3 linked regions of the Arabidopsis thaliana genome follow. The protein of the gene in region 1 purifies or fractionates together with the protein of each later gene. This does not show direct contact. Each region holds a gene or a part of one and is shown on either strand. Other genes may lie near its edges.

Evidence for each region.
Region 2: the proteins of RanBPM (region 1) and AT1G61150 purify together in Arabidopsis thaliana (affinity purification with mass spectrometry; 2 studies listed by BioGRID, with this or other methods). This does not show direct contact.
Region 3: the proteins of RanBPM (region 1) and AT4G37880 purify together in Arabidopsis thaliana (affinity purification with mass spectrometry; 2 studies listed by BioGRID, with this or other methods). This does not show direct contact.

What each region holds. Positions count from the first base shown.
Region 1 is NC_003070.9:13,050,541-13,056,985, forward strand, and holds RanBPM (SPla/RYanodine receptor (SPRY) domain-containing protein), read right to left. Parts: upstream 4,554-6,445; 5' UTR 4,383-4,553; coding exon 3,991-4,382; intron 3,556-3,990; coding exon 3,409-3,555; intron 3,267-3,408; coding exon 3,180-3,266; intron 3,086-3,179; coding exon 3,040-3,085; intron 2,698-3,039; coding exon 2,621-2,697; intron 2,498-2,620; coding exon 2,335-2,497; intron 2,184-2,334; coding exon 2,115-2,183; intron 2,028-2,114; coding exon 1,968-2,027; intron 1,596-1,967; coding exon 1,509-1,595; intron 1,372-1,508; coding exon 1,096-1,371; 3' UTR 617-1,095; downstream 1-616.
Region 2 is NC_003070.9:22,540,622-22,546,291, reverse strand, and holds AT1G61150 (LisH and RanBPM domains containing protein), read right to left. Parts: upstream 3,796-5,670; 5' UTR 3,619-3,795; exon of another isoform or gene 3,430-3,618; 5' UTR 3,365-3,429; coding exon 3,311-3,364; intron 3,186-3,310; coding exon 3,026-3,185; exon of another isoform or gene 2,989-3,025; coding exon of another isoform or gene 2,925-2,988; coding exon 2,818-2,924; intron 2,719-2,817; coding exon 2,587-2,718; intron 2,456-2,586; coding exon 2,299-2,455; intron 2,059-2,298; coding exon 1,937-2,058; 3' UTR 1,274-1,936; coding exon of another isoform or gene 739-1,273; 3' UTR 631-738; downstream 1-630. Other genes in the region: AT1G61160 (retrotransposon gag), read left to right, coding at 72-100, 739-1,273.
Region 3 is NC_003075.7:17,807,552-17,812,183, forward strand, and holds AT4G37880 (LisH/CRA/RING-U-box domains-containing protein), read left to right. Parts: upstream 1-2,085; 5' UTR 2,086-2,294; intron 2,295-2,596; 5' UTR 2,597-2,631; coding exon 2,632-3,798; 3' UTR 3,799-4,108; downstream 4,109-4,632.

The sequences.
Region 1 (6,445 bases):
AACCCCCAAAACTCTACTCCTTGTTTGTTTAGAATTTTTATAAAAAGTAAGAGACAGAACATAAATAAATAATCTAAAATTCACATGAAATATTTCTTTCAAACAATTGCGTGTAGTAAAAAAAAAAGCGAAAGGCAGCAACAACTATGAACGTACCAGAGAGTTTAGACACTCAACAGGTAAGGAGACAAAAGCTGGAATCAAACAGGTGACAGCTTTAGTCGATGGATTTCTGCAATCAATTGTTTGCTCAAGTTATTGCCTCCTATAGTCGTTGAGTATCTACACCCTCTGATATATTTGAGGTTATTGCCACCTTCAACCAAAGCATGAGAAAAATATATATGTTCAACACTCGGTATGTTTAACTATTTATAGCCAAACTTTCATTTTTTCTTGCTTTCGCATCCGATGTGGGACTCATTGCCTTTTTTCACGTGGGTTTTTAATCACAAAAGCATTGGATGAAGCTAAATATGATCAATATAGACTCTATTTACATTAGTTATTGGGCTTTTATTGGATAGGTCAAATTTCATATTTACTATTATTTTGAAAATGTGAAAATTGTAATTATAATTATTAAATTTACATTTTAAACAAGAATTTGTTTTTTCTCGATTGTTTAAAACTGATTATAATTTACAATAATATTTATTTACCATCATAACATTTATACATCGTCACATGAAATTATGAAAAGAAAATAAAAAATTAAAGATTCTCTTCATAAAAATTTCTGTTTACCATAAAATCTCTTTTTGAGAATAATTTCAGGTAACCCCAAGCGAACAAAAGTTACAAAACCCGAAAGATACCGCTAAACCCGAACACCCCCACCGCTAATTCAGTTTTTCCATTTCTGATTTGAATGTTGAAAATCTTAATTTGAATCATCTAAACTTTAAAGAACCAATAACAGTGGAAGTCCCAGTGTCTTAACGTCGAACCCATTTTTCTAACTTTCTCCTTTACATAATGGAAAGTTCAACATAATATCACACAAGTAATGAACAAAAGCCACTTATGATGATAACGACCATAGAAAAACAGAGTTTTCAAAATATATGCGCGGCTAAGCCATTTTCATCTTCTTTATCTGTTGTTGTTAAGAACATGTCGAAGCCGGAATGTTTCACCTTGGTCTCCATTCAGTGACCGCCTTTCTAAACAGCACACGGTTAACTGTCTTAGCAGTTTCTCTAGATGGGATTGCAAGTGACAGCTTCTCTGCACATCTTTCTTATTTGGATTTGTTGATAGTATTGCTGCATTCACCGCATCAGCCACTAATTCCCTCTGTGAGTCTTCTAGGAAATACCAGACCGATGATTCCTCAGGCTTTTCATACGCGAGCAAAGCAAAGCAGTCCTGAATAATCAACAAGAAAATAGAGTTCCTAAGCGAAGCAGCAACATATATAGTCTCTGTATCTGAACGCAATACATACATATTCTCAGAAACCAGATCTTGCTTGAAAGAAAAAGGAGTAAAGGAGACATTGGTACCTCGACTATATCTTGAAATCCAGTTAACCCAACAAATTTAGCTAACTCGAGTCTGCCATAGTTCACACCTTCTTCAAGTTTTCCAACCTGTTTATGCCATGTTTTTCCAAAACCATATAGTTAGAGAAATAGCCCCATCTGCATAGATGTGAAAGTGAACAAAGAAGGAATAATCCAGAGAACTAACTTAAGGTGATATTTATACACGGTGACAAGGTTCCATGCATCTATGTAACATGGTTTCCAGTGTGTTATAGGTTCTGTGCATTTTTTCACTAGTTTATGGTTTAACACCAAAGTCCATCACACAGTTCAAGCAGCTAATTTTTGTATGAGACACCAAATCCATCAAAAGCTTCCTTAATTACAAAAATTTTATTCTTATATGCACAGAGAGAGAATATTTCTGACAAGTATTAAGAACACGAAATTTAGATGGTTAAGGAATGAAGAGCATACCCGTACTAATTCAATAAACTTTTGACAGTGAAGGAGGAAGCAAACTACAGATTTATCGTCCTGCAGTAGGTACAGCCGGGTAAGACTTCGTATCACAATCCTGTGAAGTGGATCATCTCAACAATATGATAAGAAATCTCAGTTCACCTGTACAATTTGGGGATACAACTTTTGGAGTTCCGCCAAAGCAGTATCAATCTCACCATTCCTAACAAGCTACACCCAATAAAGAATGAATCAGTCCAAATTCACTAACGAAGCAGTAATTTAGTATGGGTTTGAATAGGAACCAAAAAAAGCCAGATACAAGCCTAATAAAGTTAGAAGATAACATGTCTTATATGTTAAACCGTAGCAAGTTCAATACCTGTCTAAGATTCTTTCTCTGTTTCAAAGCATAGGATGAATCATCCTCGTCAATAGCATTTTCTTGATCTATATGAATTGGAGGAACTGTATTTTTAGTAGCAAGGTTGAAAGCATCGAGTGTCTCCTCATACCCATAGTGTAGCAGGTAGGTCTTGACAAGCCTAATGATAAAGAAAACAAAATTATAGATAAAGCAGAAAGCTAGTCCAGAAGGGAAACCAAGTATTGCAATTCAAAGTTAAAAAAGTACATGATCTGTTACTGCTGGGAAGGAGTGTACTCACCCATAACCAATGTTTGGAGGTATGGATATTTTTTCAATAGCCAATTGTTGCTTATTCCTCTCTGATGCTTCATATCCCTAATAATACAGAAAGAGGGAAACAGCCCTCGTCAATTACTTAATTTCAAACATATATGTAATGGAAAGAATTTTTATGCCCTACTTCAGTGTTTAAAGATTATAACTTGAGTGCCCAAGAGTTTGAGGTTTGATTACACAGGAACAGTAAAATAGCAAATGTGAGAGCAATGTCTACAAAGAGAACCACTGCTATAGATTCGGTAACCCCAGTACCAAGAACGGACATGAGGCATACCTATTATGTGATTTCAATAGCAGTAGTCCTGGTTACACCATCCTTACTTTAGTATAAAGCTATGAGACCTAATTAACCACGTTTGAAAGGATTTTTCCTCTTACCTTAATATCGAAAGCAAATTTCTTCTTCCCAAAATTGACTAATACCCTGCCAAAATTTCAGAAAAATATGCTTTGTGTAAGAGAGAGTGAGATACATGATGGCAATGGTATTGATCTTTAAAGAGAGAGTGAGAACATACTCCTCATTTTGGCTATGTACAGCTACAGTAGGGAATAGATGACCTCTTATGTCCTTGGGGATTTTCCCAACAATAGTTCCGTTTTTACTGGCACCAACAAAAATAATCAAAAATGTCATCAGCTTTAACAGACAAAGAGTAACAGGAAAATGAATGAATCATGAATTCAACTCACAGTAGTAATGAACTTATTTAAGTACCAAAAAACATGAAACAGTTTCTTTCTTACGTGAAAAAGAACTCCTGAGAAGCGTAGTTTATACCACCGCCAACTGCATCATCTTTTGTAAACTTTGGACCAAAAGGTTCACCTTTTCCCTGTCCACGATATAGGTATCCATCATCCCCATGATATCCACAGCTGTTCACTTCCCATCTACCATTACAAAAGAAAACTATAACCTCAAATTCAAGTATTAGGCAGATAAAGCTTCTTTCAAAGGCACTATCATCCATATTTGTAAACTCAAGAACCTAGCTTTCAAATAAACCACAAAGCAATGTCCTTCGAATTTCAGATTCTTCCCTAAACCACTTCTACACAACTGAACTCACCAGAAAGAACACACACAACCTAATCCAAGAAGCTAAATCTCTATAATAACTAAACCACAACTTGGATCCCAAAACCATACCACAAACCTCAATTTCTAAAATAAACCATACCTTAAACACAACAATGATCAAGCTACAAGCTAAAACTATACTTCTTGAACTAAATCCTTCAAATTCAGATTCTTCCCTAAACAACTTCAACACACAATGATCAACAAAGATTGGATCCAAAATCCAAAGATAAAGAAAACAATACCCAGGTTGTCTACGCATTTTGAAGCTTTCCTTAGTAAAACCAATAGCAATTTGTCCTTTAATACCAGAATCTTTAACAAAAATCTCAAAGTAGTAAGTAAGACACTTGATCGGAGCAGGTTTATTAGCTTGAACAACACCAACATCGTGACCATGTAGATTCGTATTCGTGTACTTCACGGAAAGCTTATCAGGAGAAACCACAAGAAATCCGCCGGCGCTATTGATCGTATTCAACTCCGTCGGTAATTCTTCTCCTTCGTCTTCCTTCGCATCTCGTTTAGCGGAGAGACGAATCTTGTCTAAGAAGTTTAAGTTCAGATCTTGACCGTTCTCGCCGTTGTTGGTTGTATCGCCGTTGGCGGAATTCGCCGGTGGTGGTGAAGAGTTCATTGGTTTTGGTTCCGATTAGAGAAAACCCTAGAAATTTTGAGATTAGGCTCTTCAGAGGTTTTTGGAGTCTATAAGAAGAAGAACACTGAATTAGAGAATTTGTTGAGATTTCTTCTTCTCTTTGATTTATTTTTTGATCCGTTGTTTATTTTTGTGACCCGCTAGTTTCGGTATTTGTTAGACTTATTTTTTTCTTATATATATTTCTCTATATAAATTTCATAAATAATATTTAGTTATATACCAATTAGTTGGCTGTTTCAATTCATAAAAAAACACAAACTTTTTTATAAAATGTAAAATTAATCCATGTTTTATCAAATTTAATTCATACACACTTTTAAAATGTAAAATCAAATCCATGTTTTTATCAAATGTGATTCATAAAGACTTTTAATATCAAAAGTGGTTTTATTACCAAAACAAAACTTAAAATAAAAAATATTTCAAAAACAAAAGAGAAAAAACAAAAGTTTCATGGCACACTTGATTTTTCCGATCTTGAACCTTCTACTCTCGAACTACTTGTAGTCTTTCGAGTATCTCCATGGTTAAACTCATTGGTATCTTCTGTGGTACCTACAATTTACAATGAAATTTAATTAATATAATTCAATTACCTATAAAGCTTTCAATTTAAAACTCTTACCTTCATAGTCAACAAACTTGCGTAGCCAATTGCGAGTACAAAGCAAACATGAACATTTTCTGGAAGCAAGCGATTTCTATATGGAGTCAAAACCCTCGATCCAATGCTAAAAGCTGAGTTTGATGCTACTTTAGTAATAGGAATGCTAAGGACATCGCATGTCATAGAAGCTAAACCGCCAAATCGATTCTGATTATCTTTCCAATAGCTTAAGACATCCAAATTTCGAAAAAGACTTTCACTCTCATCCAAATAAATATCCAAGTGTGTCTTTGTGTTGTTCACACCGTCTTCAATACTTCTTTCTAGTTCAAATAGATCTTATGTTACAAAAACTCACATTAAGTTAATTCACCAAGTTCCAACTTTATACAATATCATCAAATTCTTCTCGAGCCCTTTAATTTTTAACTTATAAGTAGTAGAATTTACTTTCTTTTAAGCTACTTCAAGCATCTTCAATTTAAGCTTCGGATCCAAAACTGCTCTCATAGCCAAAATGAGACTATAATCTTCCCAATACTCGGAAAATTTACCATGCATCTCTTGAGCCACTTGCTCAACAACATCATCATCACAAATAGCATACTTCTTCAGCAACAACTCAATCCTCCATATTTGTGTAAAGTATACATTGGATGTGGGATACTTAGAGCCTAAAAAGTAAGTGATAATAACACTAAAAGGTTTCAATAGATCAAAAATTTATCATTGGTATCAAAAGCTTTCATGCTAACAAACGCTTCTCTAAACTTCAACGCTCTAGCAAGCATTTCATCTTTCTACATGCCATGTTCATATTCCGAACAAAAAAATTGCATTCAAACGATTAAAAGAAAGAAAAAAAATTGGTATGCCCGAATTTTTTGTTGAATAATTACAAACTTTATTTTTGCATTCGAACTTATTTTTCCCCAAAATTGCTAAATCAAAGAAGCATCAGAACAATGAAGTTTATATGTGATATGTTTGTCTTTTGTTTTGATTGAATTTCTTCTTCATTCTTTTTTTGCATTATTGAAAATTATCAAACATTATTTCAATTTTAGAGGTTTGAAAATCTAAAGGTAAACTAGATAAGGATCCACGATGTGCAGCGTGAGGAAATATTTGTGGCAATTTTGGTTTGATAGTTTACATCATAAATCATAATCATAATATTTTCTATTTAATAAAATTTATTTTGTAATTTTCTGTATTTAATTTATTGTGTCATACTCCAATATAATTCCGCAATTGGATCAGTAAATTCGATAATCCTACGCTAATCCACCCAATGTTAAAATCCGTTGGATCATACTCTATGTTTTTGTAATCTATTTTGGATCTATACTCTATGTTCTTGTTTTTTTATAAAGAAAGAAAATGAATCAAATACTGAATGAGTTAAAACAATAGCAGACATACATATAAA
Region 2 (5,670 bases), 9.5 Mb from region 1:
AAGTACATCATTTGGTTAGACTCACTTTAAGAGCTTCATTTCCCATTTTTTTTATTTCTTCATTCTCCACAATGACTAATGGAAGAAGTAATATCAATTTGTAAGTTCCTTAGATATTCTCAATTTTCTATTATCTATTTCACAATATCTATTAATGATTTTGATAAAATATATTAAGAAACTATATTATTTTCAATCTTTTAGCTTTCAGATTAGTTTGTTAGATTTTTTTTTTCTGTAATGATAAAGCATGAAATGAAAATCTTGTAAAGGATCATGATCAAAAGGTCTTTGCTCATTTTATATCAAATTGAATCAATTTTATTTTTGCTTAAAATATTTAAAGTTCAATAAAAATAGGTGAAGATAGATCTTTTTCAGACAAAATAAAATAAGATATAAATCTCTTTTCCACTATTCGACATTACGATTGCTTTATTCTATTTGATCCATTTCGAGTCATCATTTTTATACTCGAGTTTCATATAAATTATGTTTTCGCAAAATTCAGTTTTAATTTTGTTGAATTATAATGATAATTTATACTCCCTCAAATCCATAATATTTGATAATTTGTTAGAATTTTGATGTAAAGTTTTTTATTTAAATATATTAGATTTAGCATAGTCATGATTTTCTAAGATAATAAATTGTTTTTCTAACTGAAAACTATCCTTGTTTTCATATTTTGTAACAAATTATTAAATGTATAAAACTCGATGAATTATTGACCCGCAGGCAGACCAGGTCGATCAAGACATCTGGTGAACCAAAAAACTTTGAGCTCACAGGGGTAGTTGGGGAGGAGGATCAGCCACCCCGAGAAGCTTCTGAGCGCGGAGCCTTCGATGAGTCTAAGCTGGTTGACGTCAACATTGCCTTGAGCTGGGAAGCCTTTGAGGTGAAGCAAGGAACAGAGACAGTGCGTGAGTATTATAACGAGTTCCTTAAGAAGGTCAAGAACCTCGGAAGAGAGTTGGAGGAAGAGCAGCTGGCGTGTCTGTTCCAGGAAGGGCTACGCGAGGAGTTGCAGGAAGGGGTATGTGCAGCGAACTGCGGATGGATCCTTAATTATGTGTCAGATGTAGTTGATGAAGCTGAGAAGGTAGAGGCCAAACTTAGAAGCATCAAGGAAAAGGTGCCGCTCGTGTCTGAGGAGTTTGCAGATGTTGACTGCGGACAAAGCAATTTGGGCCGACCCGCATCCGAAGATGAGGTGGAGAGCAAACCCTCCAAATCCTATGATCCGGAAGACCATATCATGCAAGATTGAGATGGCTAGAGTCAACATAAGGTCTTGAGTCTTGTGGATTATGTTTCCTATTTTATATATCAAAAAGTTGCTATTACTACTTCCCTTTATTTACTTCGTACCATGTCATGCAAGATTCAAAGCTGTGTCAGTACCAAAATAATATTTTGCGAAGAAGAAGAAAAATCAAATGATGTTTCAGTACGGTTCGCAGAGATTCTCCATTTCGACGGTAACAGCACTCAATTCAATAGGTCATGTTGCTTTCTAGGTAAGTAGGAACCGTGCCAAGTTGATTCATTGATTCATGTAACTATACATGGGATGAATAAGCCATCTCTCTTGTTTACAATTCGAACCTTTTGGAACAAAAATATTCCTCAAAACAAACACAAAGATCCAAACAAAGTCGATAACTTCATTCAAATCAAATGCACGTATGCAATGAGTCATCAAATATGTTGATAATAAGAACATTTGACTAGAGTAATTCATTGCCTACAAAAGCTTATGTTCCCCTCCCCATATCCTAACGATTGCGGGTCCAACAAATCCCGATGCAGAAGAAAAGGAAAAGCAGAAAGCATATGAATTGTAAGTTATTGAGATTGACGGGAAGAGAAGAGAGCACCATTCATTGTTCCTTTTTGCTACTGATTTCCAATGGCTGAAAGAAGTACGGAATCATTCTGACGGGTCTTCGAGCTTACCGGTAGACAAATCATTAATGTGCGGATACACTGCTTTCTCGTCCAGTTGAGTTTGAGCCCAAATCAACATCTTCAACAAGCTTGGAAGTTTAGGATCTGTTTGTTCACAAACATTGAGTTGCTACATTAACCATGGAGGAAAATGGAAAGTTTCAAGAAGAACTTGGATGATACATGTTGTGGGTGAAGTAATGAATGAAAAATTTTACTTGTTATGTAGAGAAGAGTTGCATATACTTTGAATCTTAAGATTGATAATGAATGATGCTCGAGATTATAATGGTATTTTGTGGCTACTAAAAGACAACCAGTATAACATCAAAATTCAAAAGCTACCTTTTTCGTGGCTCTGGCTTGTAAGAATCGCTGCATTTACTTCACTTGCTGTCTTAAGACGGTGGGAAAGATCAAGAAGCTCTTTAACCGGGCAGGTAGAGGCATCGTCAAAAACAAGTAGGGCTACAGTTTTTTCCAATTCTTCCAGAAACGCTTGCTGCAGAGAGATATAACAGACTGTATGAATGAAGTTTCAGCAACAACAGATATTACACACAGTCAATGAGCAATACACATGGAAAACACCATCTTTAACGACAGAAATCAAAGTGAAATACAAAGACTTACGTTTTCTTCGCCACGTGGTGCAAGTTCCTCCTGAGCAAACTCTAAGGCCTCTTCTGTCTTCCCTTGTCGAATTAATTCTATCAACCTTTGCTGCTGAAGATGAAAAAAGAGCTCCGGATTCGTGTCTAGTATCTGCAAGCATGGGTTCAAAGAAGAATCAGATTTTGCTTCTTTATTACATCAGAAAAGTGAATGACTACTCTCCACACAAGATATGAAGAAGCATTGTACCTCAGGATTCAAATCATTAACTTTTTCAATCGCATCCTCGACATTTCCGTTTTGAACAGCCTTTTTAACAGCCATTCGATCAGTAATGGTCGCAAGATCTATCTCTGCTGTTTCTCGATAAGGAAGTTCAAAAGGAGTAGATAAGCTAAACATCAAACACACCAATTCCATAAACAAAAACTCAAAACCAGAATCAGAAAAAGGATACGTTTGGTTCCAGACTCCCTTTGGAATTTCTCAGCAGCTTCAACATATCCTTCAGTCACAAGAAAATTCATCACCAAAGTATTCATATCTTCTTTCCTAAGCTTCACAGCATTTAGTTTCTTCTCCCATTCTTCACGTGTGATCATTTTCTTCGAAGTAGCCTGCGACAAGCCACGATTAAAACTAGGTCACACAACGTGCATAAAGATTAAAGTTTTCCAAAAACCCATCATCAAGTTGTATCAAATAACACAAAGAACAGACTCATAAGAGGAGTCAAAATTACCATATCTTCGTCGTCTTCTTCAAGCTGATTGATAAAAATACGAAACAGTGACATTAGAACGCCAGTGAGGCTCTCATATCTTGAAATCTAATCTAATCCACTCAATACGAAATTAATACCTGTTCGAGCAACACTCCGATCAGAGCTATTTCCAAAAGAAATTGACTTTGTGATCAGATAGTGATACAAAGTAATTTAGGGCTTTAGTCAAAATTCAAGCTTTAATCTCAAAACAGCACAGGAGTGGTAGTTCTAAGAAAGAGAGAGTGTGCGACTATTTTCCTCAAAAATTGAATATAACGATGTACCTGGAGAAGTGGAGAATCTGGGGAAGATTATCTGGGAACGATTCTTGCAAATAATCCGGAGATTTGGCGATCGATTTGCTTCTAGATTGCTTGCGAAAGTCTCTTCCCTAAATTTACAATCTGATAAAACAAAAAAAAGTTGGAGGTTTTCGATAGAGAAGAAGAGATCGGGTTTAAATTATTAGGATGTTGACGAACCGTCGATGAATAATCCGGTTTAAATTATTAAGGGAACCGGTTTGTTTTTGGATTTGGTTCTTTATATACCGGATAGTATTATGTAACTCATTTCCAAATGATTTTAATACCCAAAGATTTTTAAACTATTTTACCTTTGAAGAACAAAATTTCGATTTAAAATCATAATTTTTTTTTATTTTTTTTTTTAAATCTTGGAGGTTGTGGGTCAAAGTCCGTAATCCCCCAGGCCTGAAACCACAGCATAAAATATTAGTTTCGTCCCAAGCGTCACTCGAACCGGCGACCTCTAAGCTTTGCATAAGGTCTTTACCAATTGAGCTAACGACACTTGGTTAAAATCATAATTAAATAAGACTGATGTTAAAAATCTCTATATTATTTGGAATTTGATACACAATTTAAAACCAATAACTGATACTCTATTATACTCTATTAAAATCAACTATTAGGTAACAAATATGTGACATAAACATTTTGCAGTCCGATGCAAAATATATCTTTCAATCTCAACAATATGTTTTTTCTTGGTCAACAATCTAACAATATGTTTAATTGCATCTTCAAACTAAAGTCCCAAAACATGTTTTGTTCTTTGCACATGGTTGTTTGTGTGGAACCACAATAAGACAAAGGATCGATTGCAGAATTTGAGGTCTTCTAGCTAGTTGACCGACTAAGAATCAATGGACCACTTATTCTTTAATATTATTTTTCCCAACTGGTTTGGAAGGACTTAGTGAAGAAGTTACACTAAAACTTCTCGAGTCAATCCTCATATGGTTTCTTTTGGCAATTCCTATCTCTGCAAAATCAAAGGCTCTTCATATCAATTAATATGGCAAGCAACTACTTTGAGACATGGCAAGAACGGAATTGTTGATCACATAATAAGCAAGCTCTTTCTCATCAAACTACCTACAAAGTTTTGCGCTCTACAAGATATTTGATCAATCATAAAAATGGTGATCTCGTATAATACTAGTCTTCTTTTAGGGCTAACAAATGATTCAGAAGATTACAAATGTGCTTTGTAGAAATTAGCAATATAGTGCTTTGTAGAATTTTATGACCACAAGATTGGTAAGATCATTTAGTCAAATATATGTTTTATCTCTTCTTATTGATTGAGATGATTATTTTTCTAATGAGTCGATCCACATGTCTAATTCCAATTGATCTTTGTGATTTAGTTTCATATTTGTTTTCTTTAACATATGAAATTTTTTTGTTAGTGTAGAAAATCTAATTTTCACACAATTAAAAATAATTTTTACAATAAATTATGATTAGCAAACACTTCAAAAAAATCTCCATTACTTAAACACTTCAGTTTCCTACTACTAATTAAAGTTGTTTCCTTTTGTTTAAATTGTGATTTTGCTTTAACAATAAAGATGACGGCGCATAAAATATAATTATATATAATCATGCATTATTAAATAATGAAAAAATGGAAAAAAATGAAAGAAAAAGAAAAACAAATGTTCGACCGTTCCTTATTTAAAGCCGGAAGTCCCATAGCCTTGTGGTGTTTACTTTTTCCAATTCGGAGAAAGCCAAAAGAGAGAACAAGGCAATAAAAAGAAGCCACCGTCGCTACAAAAAGTCGCGATTTTTATTTTCTCTATCCCAACTGCTCTCTACCTTTCCTCGAAAATTCCTTCAAAACCCAATTCTCAAGCCTTCTTCTTCGTCGTACCTGAAAATTCTACAATCTCTGGATCTACGCGTCTACTTCTGAATTTCGATTTGGGTTTCCCGGGAGCTGAAATTCCGTGACTTTTGGGTTTTCTGATTTAGGGTTTGTTCCTCTTCTCGTTCTTTCTCGGGTTAGTTTTTTTTTTTTTTTTT
Region 3 (4,632 bases), on another chromosome or scaffold:
TGGGCGCAGGATAATGAAGACAACAATATATACAAAAGTTTAATAAAACATTTTTAAAAAGAGGTTTTCTAATAAAATGTGGCAATAATCGACGGTTTGGATATTATTTTAGTAGAAATCTTGTCATATAATTAATTTTGTATTAAAGCTAATATGAAAAAGGTGCAAGTCATAAAGCACCACGTACTCTCGTGCACAAAGTCTCACGGGATTTGCATTCTGATCACAAAGATGTGTTTACTACAACTCATTTTATGACCATAATTCTTGTTAATGCCTAAAAATTAATCCGATCCAACTTTAATAGTCTGGACCCAATCGGCCGATGGACTTTAATTACTATTGGTTTTATGAGTTTTGAAAATTCAAAAAGAATATAGAAAAGGTTAAGCAAACTTAAAGTCTTTCGCTGAATTGTAGCTTTTTAGGAATAAGAGTCTTTTTGTTATAAGAAAAAAAGTCTTCCGTTGGCACATATATTATCGCGATGGAGAGAGATCACGACTCACGCGAGAGACCCCCGTGAAAGTTTCATGACAATTTTTTTGGTTGTCGGTCTCGGCCGTGACCGATTAGATGTTCACATCAATGACCCACGTTCCAAAAAAGATGAATTAATTTGCATTTATAAATTCTAATCTATCATCGTTTCAACCATTTTTATATTCAGACCATACGGTAAACCATTTTAGACAACACCATTAGTCATATAGTTAAATAACGAGTAGGGCTACAAAAAAGAGAGTTGAATAGTTGTTCATTGAAGATCTTCTCGAATCTTGACATAGGTACTACTTGATAATGGAATCCAACGCTGTAGATTAACCATGTGCAAGGGAGTGGTTAATTAGTACTATTATATGTATGTACTCTCAATTTCTTTCACTTTTGAATGTTCATTGGTTCTTTCTCTTATTGATTATTTACATTCCCATTATAGATTCCAGTTTTGTCACCTTGTGGGGGAGGCCGATTCACTCTTCTCCTCTTCCCTTTTCTTGGATATCTCAATTCACAGTCCGCAAAAAGAGTTTCTACTGATGTCATAATTTAAACGCGTTATTTTCTCCTATATATTCGTTTTGGTGGGTTTCTCGTATTTTAACAACTATTGAAACAAATAAAATGAATCACACGAAAAAACACACTATAGAGTCTATATCTTCGATAACATATAACATACATGATTTGATGAAAGCAAACTGAGAAAACGTTTTTTTTTTTTTTTTTTTTTCTGTTTTGGTCAAAGAAGATGTTTTTATTTTATTTTATCAAATTATTATATAGTTTTAACTATATTTTTCATACGAGGACAGATTTTTTTTTGCATGTTTGATATCTTAATTTTTTGAAAAGTTTTGTGGTTTCTAGTACCCATAGTTTTCTATTTAAAGTGGTTTCATAAAACATTAAAATTCTGGTTTCGATGTAGTTTTCTATACACACTTTAAAGTGTTAATAGCACTATTTATAGACAGAAACGAAAATTCAACACTAATTGATTATGAAATTTTGGAATTGAGTTCTCACGAGCTTGTGATTATCTGACTTGGACGTTTTTATAAACTATTGTCTTTTTTTGTATCTTAATTTTCGTGGCTTTATTCAAAAGTTAAAAAAAAAAAATTAAAATAATAATAATCAGAAATTGAAATTTTAAATTTACATTACGTGTAAGCAGAATTAACTTATAATTTTTCATAAAAGCAAACAAAATTTTAAAGACTAAATGTCAAATTCAGTTTATTTTCATAGTTTTAAAATTTAACACAAATGTTTTTAAAAATATAATTCACTATTGATTTAAGGTTATTCTTAAATAATGTACAATTAGAAACTTTAGTTACTTCATTAACGGTAAGAAAAAGTTGCCGTTACACTCGTTACAACAGTCATATTTTGTTTTTCACTGCGTAACAATTTATCAAAATGTAAACATAGAGAAGCGGTAGTTGGGCCTTTTTCTCTCCTTTCAAAATATATAATGGGCTTTTTAGTTCACGGAAGACCTAGAGCTTGGAATCGTCTGTAATATACTCCACACTAAAGTATATCTAACACTAAACAAATCCAACGGCTGAGAGTCTTTTATTCACTATAACACGTGATAGTTCTCCCTAACTCGTAAGGATAATAATCTGAAGGAGTGATGAGAAAATATTAACGAAAAACAAAAAAAAAAAGACAGAAGACAAAAAAAAATCACGAAATCTGATTTTCCTCTCTTTTGCTCGAAGCCAAGTCTCTGCTTTTACTTTGATCCACCAACTTCATCTTCAACCTCTCGATTTTAGGTACGTTTTTCCCTTTCTTTGTGTATCTTAGAAGTCTTTTGATTTTCACGCTGATTCATTTCTGGAAGTTTTTCGATTTGGTCTTCATAGATTCCTGAAATCGTTAGTTTGAAATTGATTGAGATCTTTGATTCTATATAGAAAATTTATCTGATCTGTTTATTCTGGAATCAATTTGTGATTAGAGGAAATTGTGTCCTCTGTTTTAAGTTTCTGATTTTGGATTTGAAGATCCGATTTTTGCATCTTGATGATTCATTTCAAAAAATGTCTAATTTTGGTATGATTTTTGCTTGTCTCAGGTAAGATTCTTAGAGTGATTTTGACTTATCTAAGAATGGAGCTAAAGAGCATTAAGGATGCGTTTGATCGTGTTGCGACGAAGCAGAAGCTCTCTTATAGCAAAACTAATGAGATTGTTCATATGTTGTCTCAAGAAATCGATAAGGCTTTGAGCATATTAGAGGAGACACCATCATCAGATACTATGCTTCTTGATCATAGATCTATCCTCGCTGATGTGAAGAAAGTGTTTATGGAGATTGCTCCAATCACTCAACTTGAAGCTACTGAGAAAGAGCTACATGCGGCTTTGACCAAGTACCCTAAAGTTCTTGAGAAACAGCTGAATCCAGACATATCAAAGGCTTATAGACACAATGTTGAGTTTGATACTCATATCGTTAACCAGATTATCGCCAACTTTTTCTACCGTCAAGGAATGTTTGACATTGGTGACTGTTTTGTTGCTGAAACTGGTGAATCTGAATGTTCTACAAGACAATCTTTCGTGGAGATGTATCGGATACTAGAAGCTATGAAGAGACGAGATCTTGAACCGGCTCTTAATTGGGCTGTTTCGAACTCTGACAAACTAAAGGAAGCAAGGTCTGATCTTGAGATGAAGCTTCATAGTCTACACTTTCTGGAAATAGCACGAGGCAAAAACTCCAAAGAAGCTATCGACTATGCGAGAAAGCATATCGCCACGTTTGCAGATAGCTGCCTCCCGGAGATCCAGAAGCTCATGTGTTCTCTCTTATGGAACAGAAAACTCGATAAATCACCATACTCCGAGTTTCTCTCCCCCGCTCTGTGGAACAATGCAGTCAAAGAGCTAACCCGACAGTACTGCAACCTACTCGGTGAATCATCTGAAAGCCCGTTGAGTATAACAGTAACAGCGGGCACACAAGCGTTACCAGTACTATTGAAATACATGAACGTGGTGATGGCGAATAAGAAGCTTGATTGGCAGACCATGGAACAACTTCCTGTTGATGCGCAACTATCCGAGGAGTTTCAGTTTCATTCGGTGTTTGTCTGTCCAGTCTCTAAAGAACAGTCAAGTGATGATAACCCTCCGATGATGATGTCTTGTGGACATGTGCTTTGCAAGCAGACGATCAACAAAATGTCAAAGAATGGCTCTAAGTCGTCGTTCAAGTGTCCTTATTGCCCAACCGATGTAGACATCTCAAGGTGTAGGCAGTTGCACTTTTGAAACGAAAGCTCGGGAATTTGTACGACCGATATAAACTGGAACTAAGTTCTGAATCGGTGAAATCTGTGTCAAAATTGTAACCTTGTGGTGTTCTCTGTTTCTTTTTTTCATGAAGTTTTTTAAGTGATGGGGCTTTGGTGTACAAATTGATCAGGGGAAGTTTTTAGATGATTGGACATCCCATAAGAATGTGTTTTTGGTGTTGTTGCTATTTGTTTGTTAAACCTTTTGAATATAGAAATTCTTTACACTGCAAATTTAGTTTAGATTAGCTGGAACCCTGGAAATTAAGCTCTCTTTTAGAATTACTGGTCACATGGAAATAAAACAAATTGATTTTTGCTGCGCTCATCTGTTAAATAGAGAATCATGTCTTAGTTAATCTAATTTTCGTACAATCATTGTTTGGATGGGTTAGACACATATAACGCTACAATAGAAGTAGTTCTTGAGTTAGAGAATTAGGCTCTTTCTTTATTATATGTGAGGCAAATGTTGGTTTATTGTGTTGTTCGTCTCTTCTTTGGTTAGCTTAGACACTTTGGCCTTTTCAAGACTCGTATTGGTTTCTTCTTTGATTAGCTTAGAGAATTTGGCTGTTTCAAGACTCGTTTTGGTTAGCTTAGAGAATTTGAATTCCTAAACAAGATTTATTGGGCTTAGACCCCAAAAGATGGGCTTAAGCTTGCACTTGTGTATATGTCGATTCATACGTGTGTCTCGTTCATGCGAGTCAGCTTGGTTTTGAATCCACGAATGACGAGACCTATTCTTCTCAAAAGAGTACACAAAATATATCCAAGTTTAAATATACCAAAAGGCAAAAGCAATGAA